Linked DNA regions of Caenorhabditis elegans. The protein of the gene in region 2 interacts with the protein of the main gene of each other region in a pairwise test. Each region holds a gene or a part of one and is shown on either strand. Other genes may lie near its edges.

Region 1 (3,754 bases), on a different chromosome or scaffold from region 2:
CCTCGTTTCCCTGTGATTGATATGACGGCCAATTCACGATCGACAGGTATTTCTTTCTGAAAATAATTGAAATTCGATTTTTCTGGATTTTTTTTTCCAATTTTGTAGAATAACTAACGGATCGCATCTGTCAGACACCTCAAATACTACAAGTGAGAGGTCGGCGTTGAGCACGGCGAGGTATTTGTGATGTTGGGCGAAGGCAAGGTCGATTGTACGGAATGGGAAGTCCTGAAGCAATTTTTAAATTAAAAAATCAAAATTTGGCTTTTAAACCTTAAAACGGTGCCTTTGCTTTGTTTGCAAATTGATAAGGTTCATGGATTCACCGACAGACTCGTGAATTGAGCGGAATCCGACGATTGGTCCGTTTGACGTCAAAATTCTCCCGCGTAGATATTGAATCTGAAATAAAAAAATGTATTTAAATTCTGTGTTTTTTTTTTAAATTTACTTTAAAAAAGGAGTATCGTCAATGTGGGAAATTGTTTTAAAATGTAGTATTTGTATTCAAACTTCCAATTATTGCGAAAGAAAAACGGGAAAAATCCGTTAATATTCAGCATTTAACCGTTGAAATCGACGAAAGTGGCTGAATTTGAATTTCGCGCGCATTTGAAACCTAGGCCACTACACGATTTCTAGGCCATTTTCGTTCAACGAAATATTGATTTAAATGTATTTATTTCGAACTTTAATTTGTTTTCTTTCTTAGAAAGATTCGATTGATCCTCGTGGCAAAAATTTTGTCAAAAAAAAAATTGTCAAAATTTCGAAAAAAAAGAGCCAAATTTTGCTAAAATCTGAAATTTCGCACACTTTTCTTTGTCACAGCCGCTGGATTTTAGTTTTTCTGAAATTATCAGCCTTTAATCCTTATTTTGGTTATTTATCTCGCGGAAATTCGTTGATTGGGACAACTTTTAGGCCGATAGGCATCCAATTTTGATCATTTTTGGAATCCTATCGGCCAAAAAGTTGTCTCAATCAACGAATTTCCGCGAGATAAATTACTAAAATAAGGATTAAAGGGTGATAATTTCAGAAAAACTCAAATCCAGCGGCTGTGACAAAGAAAAGTGTGCGAAATTTCAGATTTTAGCAAAATTTGGCTCTTTTTTTTGAAATTTTGACCGGCCATAAAAAATTTTTGGAAAGTTTTTGTGAAGTCTCATTATGAAATTCGTTGGTTTTGGACCAGTTTTAGTCTATTTGAGCAAAATACCCAGAAACTCTACTCTCCCTTTAAATTTACATTTTCGACGATTTTTCTGACTTAAACTGCTGAATGTTAGCGGATTTTTCCCGTTTTTCTTTTGCAATAATTGGAAGTTTGAGTACAAATACTATATTTTTAAACAATTTTCCCATTGACGATTCTTAATTCTTTAATTCTCTTACATCTCCCTTGTGATCCATAATAACTTTTGTGTGCGCATTCGACGAATCCCGTTCTCGCCCGTTGTCAACGTCCGATGGCGCGTTCAACTGAACGGTCACATTATTGCCGATTTCGAAGCCAATCGACGACTTTTCTCTCGATATAGTGCTGTAAATCATTTGAATTTTTGAATTTCCATACAGGAAAACGATAAATAAATCGATATTCGTCCTGGCCCAACTCACTATTTCTCCACAACGACGTCTGGCGACTGCAAACCGTGTGAATCGACCATCGGAATACCCTGAAAACTTGGAAACCTTGATTTTTAATCAAAAATTATTAAATTCGGAACATTAAAACTGGTTAAAACCGAAAAAATTAGCAGAGACGCCGAGAGAACAACAAAAAAACACTTGCAAACAAGTGAAAGTGTTTCTGCAAATGTACACCGTGACGACAAATTGCGGACTGAGAACTCTCGATGGAAAGGAGACGGAGAAACGTGGGAATTAGAAATGTGAGGGAATAGATAACTTTCAAAGCTGAAAAGTGTATTTTGAACAGCGAAATATTAGTAATATAATAGTAACTCATTTGAGCCAACAATATTCAAACTTTTTAATTGAAATTCACAATGATTTTTTCTGGAAAAGTCACAGGTTCGTTTCAGGCATTCTCAAATTGTGGGGTCTCATTTATTTAATTAAAAATTTAAATAAATATTCAAGTATATACTTTTTACTTAAGTAAAAATATTTATTCTCAAATTCGCACCGAAGCTAGGGGGAAAACCCCTACTAGAGTTCAATATTCATGGTTTGTCCCTGCGATTTGACAGCTTCTCCATGCTTGTTCTTGAATCCGGCACGAAGCATCTCCACCTCATCCCCTTTATTCGGATTCTGACCTTTGCTCTTCGAGCCCAATTTTTGCATTTGGCTCATCTTTCGGCGAAATAAATTTTTTGATTTTAAAGTTCATATGTGGGAGTTGGATTAGCCACGTGGATATTTTCGGGAGTTCAGGGTCACGTTCACGGGATCATCATGTTTTAAAAATATTTATTCCCCCATTTTTACAGAATTTCACAAATTTTTTCTGTATTTTCAGAGGAAAAATTGGTTTTAGTTGTCACTGAACGTTCTGAACAGAGAAAAATTTCAGAAATACGGTAATAGGTCTCGAAGCGACCGAATTTTTTACATTGCAAAAGACAGCGCGCCTTTAAGGAGTACTGTAAAAAAAATCGAAAGATATGTGAAAATATTTTTCATTAGTATTACGGGAATACAAAATGCTGAGAATGCATATTGCGCAACATATTTGACGCGCAAAATATCTCGTAGCGAAAACTACAGTAATTCTTTAAATGACTACTGTAGCGTTTGGGTCGATTTATCGGCTCGATTTTTGAAATTTTTTGAAGTAAAAGATGATAGTAAGAGATGATAGTAAGAGAGTAAGAGAGTAAAAGATGATGATGGATTATTACTGCTACTAATGGAAAAAAATAATTTCAAAAATCGAGCCGATAAATCGACCCAAACGCTACAGTAGTCATTTAGAGAATTACTGTAGTTTTCGCTTCGAGATATTTTTCGCGTAAAATCTGTTGTGCAATACGCATTCTCAGAATTTTGTGTTCCCGTAATATGTAAACATTTTTAGGAAACGGGAGACCAACTAGAAAAAATCTGAAAATCCAGAGGTCACGAGAAATTGTGAACTACAGTACTCTTTAAAGGTACACACTTTTTTGAATTTATGAAATTGGGAGCTCTGAGACTGCAAAACCGCAAAAATTTACATCTGGGCAATATTATGGTAACTCATGCCTATCCACAAATGCCTGTCTCCCTGCTTTTTTTGCCCAAAAACTATGCGCCAAAATTTAAGACAACAATGACCACACAGAGAGCGAGTGAGAAAGAGGAGAGAGAGTACATCAAAAAACTAGACAATCATCCCACAGGTTAAAAAAAAGTTCTAACACTTTCGATTACGTCTCACTATATTCCCTCTTTTGTTCGGTCAAAGACTATCCAAATTTTGAAAAATAGAATCTATGAAATCCCCTCTTGATCCGATCTCTTTTTGAACACACACACACGTATCGACACTTTTTGGCCTCCCGATTTTTTTCTAAGTACACTTTTTTTTGAAAAGCAGGCCTACCTACAATACCTACGACTGAATTTTGCTTGCCTATCAGACCTACGCTTGCCTTGTACCTGCCTAAAAGACTTAGGTATGTCTTGTGCCTGTCTACAATACCTAGGCTTGTCTTGTCCCTGCCTGCAATACCTACGCCTGTGTTTTGCCTGCTTAAAAGACCTAGACCTACTTTGTGCCTGCCTATAACCCCTACCA
Region 2 (3,754 bases):
CAATTAATATTAATTTCGGTGGCCTGAGACAAAATGTGATTATGAAAATGTTGAGCTTTCAATTCTATTAGCGCTGCACACGTTTCCATTTTTAGAACTCATTAAAAATCTCAAAAGCATTGAGAAGAGATAGAGAAAAAAGAAAACATCATCATCATCATCAACACATCCTGTAGAGTGCTTTTAAAAGGAAAGAAGAGAGGAAGAAAAATGTGAAAAAGAAGCGTCGAGAGCAACTTGTTGAGTGAGTGAGGGGGGCACAGAAGGATCACATCCAATTAGGATTGAATGAATGCTGTCGTACACACAAGAAAGTGGAATGGAACGATGAGTAGAATAAAAAAAGAAAAATGATGGAAAGGGATGCACTTGGGACACATTGCCGAAAAAAAAACGAATCGTTGCTATAATGTTCTTCCGCTAGTCTTCATAGATCCCGTTGCCAGGTGACCTCGTCTCCAAAAACTTTCTTAAATTTCGAAATCGGAGAATGTGTACTCCACGAGAAGAAGAGTGTGCGAAAATTGCAAATTTTGCAACCTCCGCACGGTTATGAGAATGAGAGCTCAATGAACCTTGCGGAGGTTGCAAAATCTGCAAGTTCCGCACGGTTATGTGGGTGTGGCCAATACCATCGTTTTCTATTCTCAATTTCTGTTATTACGTGGTAGTCTAAAGATGAAAGTTTTCGGGTCTCACCACGCTGAAATTGGGTTACTGTAACTGGACCAATATTGTGCCATTTTTAATATTATATTCAAATTCTTGACAGCAATTTTCGATTAAATCTGAAAATTATGATACTATGCTACCCGTAAATGGAGACGAGTTACAGTAACTCGGCGTGGCGAGACCTAAGATTTTACGAAATTTTCCCAATTTTGACGTCTACGTAATAATTCCCTCTATCCCAAAATTTGTTTTGTAACAGTACGGAAATTGTAATTTCCGTACGGTTTTATGGGAATCACAGTTTGAAAGTTTCAGTTCAAAAATCAAAATCTCATCTTCTAAGAGGCGGGGCGAAAACACCAAATTTGACGCGCAAGTTTGACTACATCATCAGGTCGCCACTTCTGCTCCAGTCAGAACCAACCACATTTTCTGAAAATAAATTACATCCGGTTCGGTCCGAAAACTAATATTAAATACAATTTTCATTCAATTCATCATCTTTTGGTTTTTTTTCTTTCTCATTTTGACCAACCCGCAAATATTATACGACACAGGGGGCTATATAGTCGTGCGCGACGAAACATTTTTCTTTCCCAAAAAAGGAATGAATTCTCATTTTATTTGATGAAGAGGCGGGAAGAAGCTCTCCGAACGTTGTGCTCTGTGTGGTCAACAAAAAAAGGTCGACGACACAGAAAAGGAATTTAATTAAATGGGGGACCCCGTCGTCGTGCATTTCTCAATTTTCTCCGTTTTTTTTTGCAATTAAAACGAGGAGGAGTGAGAAGAAACGAGTGGTGCTCGTTGAAATTTGAAAACGAAAATTAGACGAGGGAGTAGGTCAAAGGGAAATAAAAACAAAAACATCTGAAATGTGTAATTAAATTTCTAGAATTTTTTAGAATTCAATATTTTATGGATAGGTATGTACTATAGGGGTCGGCGGTATTATACAGTAACCCATACACGAATTTCACTTTTTTCAGTGTCTAGTGTTGAAGAAAAAAAATCAAAGTTCAAACAGAAAATCGACTTCATCAAAATTACAAAACATCCGATCAGAGAAAAAAAATTTTCTCTTTATTTCCCGCAGAAAACCTCCCAGCAAACTTTCACCACAAAAACCCTATTTTAAACTCCCTCCATTTTCAAGTCCGCAATTGCGCGTAGCTTTGCGTGTTTTGTCGTTGCGGACTTTGATTTTTCAAACAAAAATGTTTTTTCTTGGAACTTTTCGAACCTGTTTTCCACTTTAAAAAAGCGGTATTTTTCAATTCTTTCTTTATTTTAAATTTGAAAAACTTGTTTATTGCTTAAATTTTTAATTAAAAAGCATTTTATTTCGAAATTCAGGCCATGTTCTCGCATCTTAACCAAAATACATCCGGAAGGCATAACTCAATGGATCTCAACAATTCTAGTATTTCAAAGTGAGTAATTTGTTTCTTATTTTGCAAAAAAAAAACCAGTTTTTAATACTAAAAATCTAATTTTAGCTTCGGGACACCAGTTGAACAGTCTACGCCGGCACTTCTTTTCGGAAAGCGAAAGGCAACTGTTCCATCTTCGTGTAAGTAAAGTTTATCTTAAGTTTTCTCAAAAATATGATAATTATTTAGACACCGCTAGCCCGCTCAACACTGCATCGGCACCATGTTCGGATATTTTCGCTGTTTCTGCACCGGCAGTGCCGCAGCATTTGAAGGATACACCGGGCTCTAAATCAGTTCATTGGTCTCCATCTTTGGTGCAATCTGGTGAAAAGTCGGCGGCACAAACACAGAATACACCTGCCAACTTGTCTTTCGGAGGAAATTCATCATTTTCGGCGCCGACAAAGCCAGCTCCTCAGTCGATTCAGACATCATCTTTCGGTGGTCAAGCGATGCATGGTTAGAATTTACATTTTTTCGCGAATATTTAAAATAAAATTGATTTTCAGCACCACCTCTTCGATCTCTTCGCGACAAAGTTGAACCAGCGAAAAAGATCTCCAGACGAAATACATTCACTGCCAGATCAACACCACTTTCCACTCCAATCACTCAACGAGTCACATCCAGGTTGGCTGAAGCAGAAGAACAACCAATGGAAGAAGAAGCCGACGCAGCTGATACCTGGGTCACTGTTTTTGGATTTCAGCCAAGCCAAGTGTCGATTTTGTTGAATTTATTCTCGCGGCACGGGGAAGTAGTTAGTCATCAGACTCCATCAAAAGGAAACTTCATACATATGCGCTATTCGTGTGTCACACACGCTCAACAAGCTATTTCTCGAAACGGAACTCTCCTCGATCAGGATACATTTATTGGAGTCGTTCAGTGCACAAATAAGGTAAGTAAAAAGGATATATTTATTTTTTATTTTAATTTTAAAATTTACAGGACGTGATCAACGGCTCAGCATCCGGAATTGTTGCTCGATCATCTAACATTGCTGCAGCTGCAAACCGATCTGCTTCCATGTATAACTCATTTGTGGAGAACGATATGGCCGATCAATCAGTTAATCACAATGAGAACAGTGTGCTCAACTCGTCGAATGTTTTTGATGCAAATAACTCGCTCAAGTATGATTAGAAATTTTTAGTAAAAAATTCATAAAAATCTAAATTTTATACTTGAATCTGCTAAAGCGAAGTTTGTAGTTTGTAGTCTAGCGCTACTCCACTTTGAAAATGTGAAAAAGAAAAAGTTAATTTTTCACAATTCAATTAATATTTCCACAAAAAATTGTTTATGTTTTCAGTTCTTCTCGTATTTCCGTCCGTTCTGGTGTCGGAATGAGACCATTGGCTGCCGATCAAAGAACAAACGTAAGCATTTCATTGATTCAATCCTTCTAACCAATTAAAAAAGATTTTACAGGGAACCCCATCGGTTCGCAAGGCACCTGACGGATTGCTCAACAAGTTCTGGAACACGATCGGACTCAACTAATCTTTTTGCTCATTGGAAATATCGCCCATTTTTCTGTTTTATTTCACCATTTTTTTCTTTTGTTGTGTATCCTTCTTTTTCGAATTTCTGAAAACAGTTTCGTTTCTCACGGTTTTTCGTTCTCAAAATAATTTTATTTA

Evidence for each region.
Region 1: the proteins of npp-19 (region 2) and edc-4 interact in a two-hybrid assay, tested with the Caenorhabditis elegans proteins (one large-scale study listed by BioGRID).

The regions. Positions count from the first base shown.
Region 1 is NC_003279.8:3,348,216-3,351,969, forward strand, and holds the start of edc-4 (FHA domain-containing protein), read right to left. Parts: upstream 1,677-3,754; coding exon 1,627-1,676; intron 1,550-1,626; coding exon 1,402-1,549; intron 406-1,401; coding exon 277-405; intron 232-276; coding exon 119-231; intron 57-118; coding exon 1-56.
Region 2 is NC_003280.10:10,796,754-10,800,507, reverse strand, and holds the start of npp-19 (Nucleoporin NUP35), read left to right. Parts: upstream 1-2,028; 5' UTR 2,029-2,031; coding exon 2,032-2,105; intron 2,106-2,171; coding exon 2,172-2,245; intron 2,246-2,294; coding exon 2,295-2,567; intron 2,568-2,617; coding exon 2,618-3,009; intron 3,010-3,059; coding exon 3,060-3,244; intron 3,245-3,423; coding exon 3,424-3,490; intron 3,491-3,533; coding exon 3,534-3,614; 3' UTR 3,615-3,754.